Linked DNA regions of Arabidopsis thaliana. The protein of the gene in region 2 binds, or shares a complex with, the protein of the main gene of each other region. Each region holds a gene or a part of one and is shown on either strand. Other genes may lie near its edges. A codon is read from its position in the direction of its gene.

Evidence for each region.
Region 1: the proteins of PDV2 (region 2) and ARC6 are in contact, whole or in part, in a crystal structure (PDB 5GTB), measured with the Arabidopsis thaliana proteins. Residues at the interface, in NP_028242.1 of Arabidopsis thaliana: Glu287 (codon at 3,319), Arg288 (codon at 3,322), Val289 (codon at 3,325), Glu290 (codon at 3,328), Ile291 (codon at 3,331), Pro292 (codon at 3,334), Phe293 (codon at 3,337), Asp294 (codon at 3,340), Ala298 (codon at 3,352), Lys299 (codon at 3,355), Arg300 (codon at 3,358), Asp301 (codon at 3,361), Val302 (codon at 3,364), Thr303 (codon at 3,367), Tyr304 (codon at 3,370), Gly305 (codon at 3,373), Tyr306 (codon at 3,376), Gly307 (codon at 3,379); in NP_199063.1 of Arabidopsis thaliana: Trp686 (codon at 1,705), Gln687 (codon at 1,702), Lys690 (codon at 1,693), Phe694 (codon at 1,681), Arg710 (codon at 1,542), Met711 (codon at 1,539), Ile714 (codon at 1,530), Trp715 (codon at 1,527), Arg718 (codon at 1,518), Glu721 (codon at 1,509), Thr722 (codon at 1,506), Leu725 (codon at 1,497), Leu727 (codon at 1,491), Tyr729 (codon at 1,485), Tyr731 (codon at 1,479), Glu753 (codon at 1,413), Leu756 (codon at 1,404), Glu758 (codon at 1,398), Ala760 (codon at 1,392), Leu762 (codon at 1,386), Asp764 (codon at 1,380), Val766 (codon at 1,374), His767 (codon at 1,371), Asn770 (codon at 1,362), Ala772 (codon at 1,356), Thr773 (codon at 1,353), Asp774 (codon at 1,350), Arg776 (codon at 1,344), Tyr778 (codon at 1,338), Thr780 (codon at 1,332).

What each region holds. Positions count from the first base shown.
Region 1 is NC_003076.8:16,983,527-16,989,595, reverse strand, and holds ARC6 (Chaperone DnaJ-domain superfamily protein), read right to left. Parts: upstream 4,501-6,069; 5' UTR 4,302-4,500; coding exon 3,795-4,301; intron 3,713-3,794; coding exon 3,488-3,712; intron 3,401-3,487; coding exon 3,140-3,400; intron 3,057-3,139; coding exon 2,069-3,056; intron 1,780-2,068; coding exon 1,646-1,779; coding exon of another isoform or gene 1,634-1,645; exon of another isoform or gene 1,555-1,633; coding exon 1,264-1,554; 3' UTR 988-1,263; downstream 1-987. Other genes in the region: AT5G42490 (ATP binding microtubule motor family protein), read left to right, coding at 1-190, 270-550, 642-987; AT5G42470 (BRCA1-A complex subunit BRE-like protein), read right to left, coding at 4,858-4,924, 5,006-5,103, 5,197-5,262, 5,409-5,462, 5,545-5,634, 5,698-5,746, 5,835-5,965, 6,053-6,069. UniProt on the Arabidopsis thaliana protein: Component of the plastid division machinery consisting in a binary fission accomplished by the simultaneous constriction of the FtsZ ring on the stromal side of the inner envelope membrane, and the ARC5 ring on the cytosolic side of the outer envelope membrane.
Region 2 is NC_003071.7:6,983,063-6,987,455, reverse strand, and holds PDV2 (plastid division2), read left to right. Parts: upstream 1-1,835; 5' UTR 1,836-2,099; coding exon 2,100-2,381; exon of another isoform or gene 2,382-2,464; intron 2,465-2,539; exon of another isoform or gene 2,540-2,709; coding exon of another isoform or gene 2,710-2,742; coding exon 2,743-3,384; 3' UTR 3,385-3,610; downstream 3,611-4,393. Other genes in the region: ARI2 (RING/U-box superfamily protein), read left to right, coding at 1-89; HB1 (hemoglobin 1), read left to right, coding at 3,934-4,046, 4,129-4,243, 4,323-4,393. UniProt on the Arabidopsis thaliana protein: Component of the plastid division machinery consisting in a binary fission accomplished by the simultaneous constriction of the FtsZ ring on the stromal side of the inner envelope membrane, and the ARC5/DRP5B ring on the cytosolic side of the outer envelope membrane.

The DNA.
Region 1 (6,069 bases), on a different chromosome or scaffold from region 2:
CTCGACACCGGAGCTAGATTATGGGATTCCATACGCTCCCACAAAAACCGAAAGAATGGAGATCAGACCGGAAAGCCCTGCAGATAGCGTTAGAGGAAACGAGAATGCATTGCCAAATCCTCAGGATATAAATAAAGAAACCACAGATGCCACCAATAATCAGTCACAGAGAGAGCAGGTTGGTGATTCGGTAAGCCAAAAAAAATATTTTCTTGGGGAGACAAAAACTTCTTTCGTTTCTCAACAGTTTGGATGATCACAAAATGCAGGTAGAAGAAGCAAAACCTAAGGAAACAGATTCCACAGAGGCTTCCCAGGAGAAACTACAGGTAGCTGCTAATGGACAATATTCAATCAGTTCTTCAGACTTTGAGAGACAGCAAAGGAAAATAATTGAGCTTTGGGCAGCATGCAATGTACCACTGGTTCACAGAACCTACTTCTTTTTGCTCTTCAAAGGTGATCCTTCAGACTATGTTTATATGGAAGTTGAACTTCGAAGGCTATCTTTTCTGAAGCAGACGATATCTAATGACATGGAAACATCAAGGTATTTTTCTGCAACACCTTTTTAACGAGTCTCATCAATATCAATCATATACTCATAAGTATGCTAACCAATTCCTTTGGTGTCTAATCAGGATGCAAACAGTGAAGGCACTCACACGCGAGAAGGAATGGATTTCCAAACAATTACCAAAGAAGTTTCCATGGAACCAAAGAATAGGGCTTTACCAAAAATGGGGCGTGGAGGTGAACTCAAAGCAGAGAAGCCTGCAAGTGGCGCACAAGCTGTGGACCAACACCCAAGATATGGACCACATAAAAGAAAGTGCTTCTCTTGTGGCTAAGCTGCTTGGATTTGTTGAGCCAAGTCGAATGCCGAAGGAAATGTTTGGCCTCAGCTTGTTACCTAGAACCGAAAACGTAAAATCATCTGGCTGGAGATTTACCAAATCATTCTCTGCTATACGCTTGACCAGATGATAACCAGAGCACAATTATAAAACATAAACAAGACAGAAGTCTCCAAACACTGATAGTTAAGTTGTGAAAGGCTTGAATGTAAGATAAGTCAAGTTCTGCTTGTACCTGATTGCGAAAGAATCCAAAATTGTAGCCCTTATGTTATAGTTTAGATCAAGGAAAAGGGTGTGCCAAGAACGTTAATTTTTTTGTGTTCATTTATAAACACTAACTTAGAGAGAGAATTTACAAAACAAAGAGAATCTCGCAAGCTCAGACATGCTACATATGAGTATATTATGATGCAAGAACAGAGCCTTCAGTGATTTTCCACCCTGACTTGGACCAGAAAACTTCGTATCTTGTTGTGTAGGTTCTGACATCAGTAGCATTGTTTTCTGGATGAACCAAATCAGATAGACAAGCAGACTCCTCCAGAGTTGCTTCCACCAGAGCACGGGTTCCATCTGCTGAGACTGTCACACTGTCAACAGATAGTTTCAACAGTGTATAATCATAAACCAACCCAAGCTGCGCAGTTTCAGCTGCTCTGTCAGTCCAAATCTTCAGCATTCGCCCATCCAAAACCTATAAATAACAGAATCAAACAAGGCACCAGACTATAATCATGTCCAACAGTTTTCACACAATTGATTGAATTGTAGATTTATTCCCTCACCTCTGGTAACATTTCTATGCGGTGATCAGGCCCAAAAGCCAGAGACTTAATCTTCTGCCACTTGGATACTATATTCTCTGCAGTCCTAGCATCCATTCTGGGAAGTGCTTCTGAATCGTCAGCTCTGACTGACCCTAAATCGAAAAGAAAAAAATCAAGGAAAGAAAAGTTGGACAAAGCCACACTAAGGCAATCTCTAATCCTACGTTATTCTAAACAGAAATGTTGAGAGTGAAATTTACATTTCTGTCTACAGTTTGATCAAAAAATTCAAGCAGCATAATTAGTGAAATTTACTCAGCAACTTGTTAATCTTGGTACAACTTTTGGGACATGTATTAAGTGGGAACTATGTTCTTAGCTCACAAAACAAGCATATTTTGAGCAATGCAGATATATGAAAATTGCATCATTTAATCATACCTATGGTAGCGACATCAGATTCCATAGAAGAAACCATATCCTTGCGTTGAAAAGATGAGCTGCTTTTAAGAAAATACTTCTGGCTGAACAGTGAAATCAGTCCAATTGCCACACCAGCAGCTAGGATCTTCACACTTGCCTCCTTTAACATATCAGCAACGGACATTTCAACAGTAGTTTCATCAACGCTACTCTCTGAGACCCCAGCTCGAATTGCATAATCATTAGTTTCAAAGTTTTCAGAGGGTCTTACAGCTTCTGCAATAAAGACACCAGGCTCACCATCACGGCCTACATTGTTACCAACAGGATCTACACTAAACACTGTCTCTTGCACATCCTTGGGTTCAGCCGAGTTTCTATCTGTATAGCGGGAAGGAAAAACTTTCTGCAGTGCCTGCATAGCACTAGCTTTCACATGCTCGGCTCCAATCCTTGCCATAGCTGCAGCAGCAGCTAAAGGAGAACCCTGAACTACCTCCACTCTTTCCAAGTAACTCAAAACCATAGGATCATCATAGTAGTCCCCGAGTTTAAATTTTTTATCTTTGGTGTCTCTGAACCTAGGAAAGACAACCCCTGCCAACCAGGTTTCCAACAATTTGCATAGTCCAGGGAGATCATCATTGTCATCACGATTTGAATTCTCCAAAACAAACTCCACAATAGCTGGATTCCTATATTGTGAATCCTCACTGTCTAAGCCCAACCACATACGGCATTCATCAACTTTGCCTATAAGCAGTGCACAGAGTCCCCTTTCTAGACCGAAGTCTATCTCCCAATTATTCCGTGTATCATACAACATCGCAGGAATCTCCATAGCCATTACCTTAGCCTGCTGAAGTTGCTGGAATTGCTTATCAGCATCCTGTAAAAGGTGTGGCTTCTTACCAATAAAAGCTTGAGCCACAAGAGCAAGTGCAACTTCGTAAACTTCAAATGACTCTGCTGGAATATTGCTTGGGGTAGCTACAAAAAGATCAACCTACCACACAACATACATTAAAATGAGAAACCTAAAGTTATATCATGCTAAAGAAATTAAAAAAAGGTATCTAAACTGTATACCTGCTCAGCAGCTGTCATTCGTAAAAACGCCTCATTCATAAACTTCTCACGGGTCAAACCCCCAACAAGAGCTGATGCTCCACCTCCTCCAACAGACCACAAAATATTCCGCACACCGCTTAAACCATTTAGTCTTTTCGCAGCGTAATCATCACCAAGCGGTAAGCCAAGTAGCTCCAAGACATAACGCGGAGTGATCTCTTCCAAAGTCTCATCAATTTGTGCACGTAAATCCGGTGCAAGGCTACTTGCTCCTTCCTCCTACACAAGACTCAATAACAAAGTATCAAATCAAGAAAGTTCTTATAAAGCCAACGCTCGTCAAATTACCAAAGCAAGTCAAACTACCTGTAAAAGCTTCAAAGCTTCCTCAACAAACTCATAACCAGTTATAAAATCAGGTGGATCCAATGCCATAGCATCCCTCGAGACATCGAGAAACGCAAGCGCCATAACTAAAACCACATCTTGCTTAAACGACTTAGGCAACCTCTCCTTAAGCAGAGCCTCACCAACCCGAAGAACTATCTCAGTCTCACCACCTTCTTGCAATACACAGAGAGCACCAGGAACCTTCACTAGATAAAAGTTCCTTCCTTTATCCAATTCATGAAATTAAAACGAAGAAACTTTATTATTCCGAAATCGAAATTACCTTATCCCAAGGAACATCAGTGATGACTGTAGCTTCTTCATCATCAAGAAGACCTTCATTGTACTCTCTTCTAGACCGAGGATTAGACAGAGTTTCGCAAGCAGCTTGAAGAATCTGTCTCCGGCTGATTAAAGCGTCGTCGCTGAAACCGAATTGCGGCGGTTTCGAAACCCTAGCTTCGAATGCTCTTCTGATTCCATCGGTTAAGAAATGTGTTTGAGCTCCTAATACCTGGTAGAAATCAATGGGGATGGGGACGTGGCGTTCGGGACGATCAATAGATGGTGGCGGAGAGACGAGAGTGGCGGTGGTGGTGGCGGTGGCGAAGGAGGAGGAGGAGGAATCGGAGGTGAAATTGAAGTCGGAGAGAAGACGGTCGGCCCATTTGCTGGCGGAGCAGATAGTTGTAGAGGTGTTGTGGCTACGTCGGAGCTTTGTCGTCGCCGGTGGTAATCGGCATAATTGGAATGGGGAGAGACCAATGCCGACGTGACTCAGAGCTTCCATGGGAGTGTCTTTTTAGGCTACTACAAAAACTTTGTTCTGTTTTACATATTGAAGAGACTGTTTGGTCGTCTAGGGTTTATGGAATTTTGATTTTGAGTAGTATAAGTTAAATCAAAAAACATCACCAGCTACTGAAAAAAATAAAAAACAATCTATGATGTTACAGTCGCCACGGACTTTATGATGTTAAATCGTCTAAATAATCTATTCCACCTAAGAACCGTTGGAGTTGCCTTCATTTTACACATATAGAGCAACAGTAAACCAATGACTTAATTCTTGACTACTTTAAAGTTTAAACCCACAAAACCCCATCAATTCCCTCTCTTTTCTTAACATCCAACTGAAATGTGTAAAATTCGAAACTATTATGACATGTAAATGTAAAAGCAAACAGAGCCAATGAATCCTATAGCCAAGCAAAATCTTGTTGAAATCAAGACAAATTGCTTATAATTGTATTCTCCTTAATGCAGAACAGTAATCCATTTCAGTTTACATAGCAAGAGGAGTGTCACATAAAATTTGGACAATACTAACTTTCGAAATAGATACACTAATGTTGGAGCAGAGCTTCGTTACAATATTTTTTAAAGTTGACAGCCTCGTCGGTCAGGAAGTCACTGCAAAAAAGTAAAATTTTAAATGTTCAGAAGGAGAATTAGTTAAATAAGACATCTAAGAAAGAGTCCATAGAGACTAACCACAGTCGCTCAGCCATGCGTCCCACTTCCCATCTTGGACTCCATGGGTACTCAGTGAGGAGATTCGATTTCACTGGCACACTCGATTGGTTTAAATGCTGCATATAAAAAGCTTGTCAATTTTTATACCTAAATAAATAAAGAGAAAGTCGAAGCCTTCTACTTAGTTCGTTTACAAATAGTTTTGATACCTGACAACTTTGCAGCATCAGAGTTGGTTGCTGCTTCGGAAATTGAGTTGAAAAGAAGAAATGAACCTACAGCAAAGCCAAAAACCCAATAATCCACTGCTACATATTTTTGTGAAATTGAGATTTCTCTAGAAGACAAGTATGAAAATCCACTTTGGCAAAGATTGAATAGAACTTTTTAAACAAGGCTTGAATAGTGATAGAATAATTACCATGAAAGTAAATTGTCCAGAGGCATTAAGGAATGTAGCCTTACGGCAAAAGGTCTAGCAAGAAAAACAAATAAGAAAGTTAAGAAGCTCGGAAATAGTTCTAAATATATGTCAAGGCGTGCGAAGAAATGCTTACAGGATCGGCTTCAAGAGGTCTTCCCAGATTAAGACTTAATGCCTCAATAAAACTCCTCCTTAAATCAATTGCAGCAACAGCTTCATGGATCTAGAAATTAAGGTAAATAAGGCACTCGTACTCAGGAAATTAAGAAGATTTAGTTTAACTGACCTGTCTCTCAAGTGTTTCTTCAAGATGGGGAAGATATTCAGCCAAGCACCTTTGAAATAGAAATGTAAGTATTACTGATTAATACATGTATGGTTTGCAGGTATAGTGAACTGTGTGTACATCTGTAACTAACTTACATCCCGTCCATCCATGGAGAAAGTTTAACATCCTCAACAGAGAATAGCGATTTTAAATCATAATATGATACTAATTTCAAACGAGGTGCTGACGGTGCTGCTTCATATTTCCGAAGAATCGGGTATACTACCTGGATCCGCAACAAGTTTCTCAAGAAGATGCCAGCAATTTTAACAGAGTGAAGAAAAGGATAAAATTATAAGAACGAAGAGAAAACCTGAAGATAAATCTTCT
Region 2 (4,393 bases):
AGCGTGCTAGAATAGACGAAAGTTACAGAAACAGCCAAACCACCTTACTAGATTTAAACTTGCCAGCGGAAGCCATTGAGCGGAAATGAACACTTATCCTTCTTCACCTCCCAATAACACCCTTTTTGTCCAAATAAAGTGTGTTACCCGGATATTTATAGCTCTAAACCCAATCCCCTCTGCTTAATTTGTCAGTGACCTTACCTAACCCTCTTCAGTTCTGAAAGAAGGGGTCAAGCATCGTTACTTACAAAATTTCAATCAGTTTCGGAGTTTACATAGGATAATGGTTATAGACTTATAGTGGATCATATTTGAAGCTGCCTATGAACTCAGGCTTCTCTCAGTGCCTCGAGGTGTAAATTTTTAACTAAACGTAGGTGGATCGTACCTAATTCATGGATATGAATCTCTTGTACATATGCGTTATATATTTGAGATGGTATGAGGTTTTTGTTGTGACGGTGAGAGAGTGTCCCGCAATCTGAAAAATTGGCTAACCTTAGTTTTTCACTTTTTCTGGTTGTAATTTTTTTATTGAATGCATCCCCTAAAAAATTTTGTTTGGTGAGATACCTATTGAATCTCTCACTAATATAATTTTATTATTTTTGGTTCACTTTTGTGTCTCTCATCAATATAATGTATTTTTAGTGTTATTTAATAATTTTAATGTAATTTAACTTGAATACTTCTTTTAATGTCTTATTTTAAATTAAAATATTTCTAACTAATATTTTTAAACCATCTCAAACTACATTTTAAAAATATTCATTTTCAGACATATTCATTTTAAACATATACATTTCTCATAGAGAGCTCTGAGAAGCAAGTGATCAAGTGGAAGCAACTCCCACATGGGTGGGTTAAGTGTAACTCAGATGGAGTTTGGAATGCAGAATGCAACAAGTGTGGCATTTGCTGGGTGCTTAGAAACTCCGACAAGAACGTGCTTTGGATGGGTGCAAGGGCTATACCAAAGGCTCAATCCGCCTTGGTTACTGAGGCTGAAGCGTTGCGTTGGGCGGTGTTGTCACTCTCTCGACTCAACTACCGAAAGGTAATCTTTGAATCTGATTCCCAACAATTGGTGTCTATTCTTGTTGATAACGATGATATGCCTACTCTGGACCCTATTATACAAGACATCAAGTTCTTGCTTCAGCATTTTGAGGAAACAAAGTTTGTGTTCATGCATCGTGGAGGCAATGGAGTGGCAGATAGGATAGCAAAGGAATCTCTTTCTCTTGAGAATTATGATCCTAAGTTGTATTCTATAGTGCCAAATTGGGTAAAATCGTTTGTGGAATTAGACAAGTTGTAAAACTCTGTTGTTTAATGATAATTATTGTTGTTGAGCCAAAAAAGGAAAAAACATATTCATTTTCAATTACTTTGTTATCTTTTATAAAAGGAAAAAAGATGGCTAACTACACGAAATATAGAGAATTACGCTGTCATATATACCAAGTATAATATTGTATCTTGAGCTACACGAAGTACATGTATTGCATGACCATATTTATGAACTATATGACGTCATCTGGTTAATATTATGAACATACAATTCCGGTAAACCGATCAGTTGACTTCGGCGTTGACAAACAAAAAAATGCTAACCATAGTTCAAAGAAAAAGAATTGTTACAAAAACGATTCTACGATAATTTTTATAATTTATAATAAATAATAAATCTAGACGGTAAAAAATAATAACTTAAAATTTACGTTTTTTCTGACATAGAAGTCTATATTTTAGTACACAGATTCTTTTATTTTATTTATGTAGAATGATATGTCAGATTTGTCATCTTTGTTAGAGTCCAAAATTGGCCTCTTCCAAATTTCTTATGGTTCTTTTTCATTTTTTCCCCAAATTTAAATAAATTCAATAAAAATTTGTTGATTTTTTGTGGCCGTTGATTAAAACCGGGAAAGCAGCAGAAACAAATCTGAAAATCTGAGTTAAGCCAACCACAAAACAAATCCACTCCAAACACTCCAAATTACTTGTCTCTCTTCTCTTCCCCACCACCACTACCTTACAAAAACCCTAACCCTAATTTCTCCACCCCCAAATTCTTTTCCTCAATCTCTGCGATGGAAGACGAAGAAGGCATCGGGTTAATTTTAGCCAGAGCCACCGAGCTCAGACTCAAGATCAGCGATTGTATCGATAACTCCAGTACCACCGTCAGCGACAACGGCGATGGAAACGAGGATCTTTCTCCCGGAGAAGGAAGAAAAAGCGAGATTATTGGGAATCAAGACAAGGATTTTGACTCAATCAGCTCTGAGGATGTAGATGAAGCAGAAGCTGAACGGCTTTTGCGTATTCGTGATGCTCTTGAAGCTCTTGAGTCTCAGCTTGCTTCTTTACAGGTTTGAACCAAACCCTAAAAATTTCCTCTGCTTCTCATCAAGTTTCTGGCTTTTAGTGTAGTATTGGACATTGAAAGTGTTAGGTTCTGGTTTTAACTGAAATTGAGTCTGAATTTGCTTCAAGTCTGGTCTATAATGTCTGAATTGCTTCTTTACAGGTTTGAACCAAACCCTAAAAAATTCCTCTGCTTCTCATCAAGTTTCTGGCTTTTAGTGTAGTATTGAACATTGAAAGTGTTAGGTTCTGGTTTTAACTGAAACTGAGTCTGAATTTTGCTTCAAGTCTGGTCTATAATGTCTGAATTGCTTCAAGTCTTGGTGGTGGTTAATGTGGGGATGGTTTTTGGTTTGTGGTGAACAGAATCTAAGGCAAAGACAACAATATGAGAAGCAACTGGCTCTCTCTGAGATTGATTACAGTAGGAAAATGTTGCTTGAGAAGCTTAAGGAGTACAAAGGGAAAGATTTTGAAGTGTTACGTGAGACTACGACTTTTGCTGGTGAAAGAGTTGATTATGAGAATGATCTTTTACTTCCTCCTTATCCTGTCCATCCTCCTCTCTCCCTTGGTTTAGATAATAATAATGGTTACCTATCTCACTTACCTTCGAAGAAGAAATCGGATGCGAATGGGTTCGGCTCAGGACATGTGAGGAACGAGGCAGAGGCGAAAAGTCCCAACGGAGGATCTGGAGGTTCGAGTCATGGGGTTATTCGCTTCTTAGGCTCTGTCGCAAAGATCGTGCTTCCAATCATCGGTGTTATCTCTCTATTGTCTGCATCAGGATATGGTCCAGAGATGAGGAAAAGAGGCGCTTCCTTGAACCTTTTTGGACTTCTCCCGCACCGAGCTACCAGAGGGAAGAGAACACCTAACCAATGTCCACCAGGGAAAGTTCTTGTGATTGAAGATGGAGAAGCACGGTGCCTTGTTAAGGAAAGAGTCGAAATACCATTTGACTCTGTTGTAGCGAAACGCGATGTAACTTACGGATACGGTTGAGTTTGAAAGAAATTAAACACCCTCCTCTGTAATGTTCATTGCCTGACATTCAGTGTGTAAAGTTTCAACCTTTTCTTACCTCTTAGATATGAAAGCCACATGGTGCTACATAACTCTCACAAGTTTTGTTCATAGTTGTGCAAATAAATTGGATGAGGGAGAGATTCATTTGAGTAGTATAATCTCTGTTCTGCCAATTTGATCAATAGATTCAGTGTATCCCAACTTATACCACTTGGTGTGGTTGGCCAATACATAAATAAGTAAATTAATGAGATAAAGAGATCTAAAAGACTTTTCTTTAGTGTTTTGACTAATAATTGGTCAAGCCTACCATTACAAACTATGTTCCATTACCAGTACAGAGCACATGGTTTCACTTTTTAACCAAGCAACTTTATCTTAAACTTGCTTATCAAGAACTGTCTCTTCGGTAACACAAAAGGGTCTTTTATCAAAACCTATATATAGGATACTTTTCATAATTGGAGTAAGATCTACAAAACAGAGAGTTGTATACTTTAAATCATTTAGAGGTTGTGAAATATTATGGAGAGTGAAGGAAAGATTGTGTTCACAGAAGAGCAAGAGGCTCTTGTAGTGAAGTCTTGGAGTGTCATGAAGAAAAACTCAGCTGAATTAGGTCTCAAACTCTTCATCAAGTAAGTAATGATCCCATTGATCTCTCTCTATTTTCTTTTTATGTATATAGTCTGAGATATGAACTACTATTTTGAACTGTAGGATCTTTGAGATTGCACCAACAACGAAGAAGATGTTCTCTTTCTTGAGAGACTCACCAATTCCTGCTGAGCAAAATCCAAAGCTCAAGCCTCACGCAATGTCTGTTTTTGTCATGGTAATAATCAATATCAAATAACATGATTTTGCTTATATATTCGAATCAAAGATTGTTGAGTTTTGGGGTTTATTATCAGTGTTGTGAATCAGCAGTACAACTGAGGAAAACAGGGAAAGTTACGGTGAGGGAGACTACTTTGAAGAGACT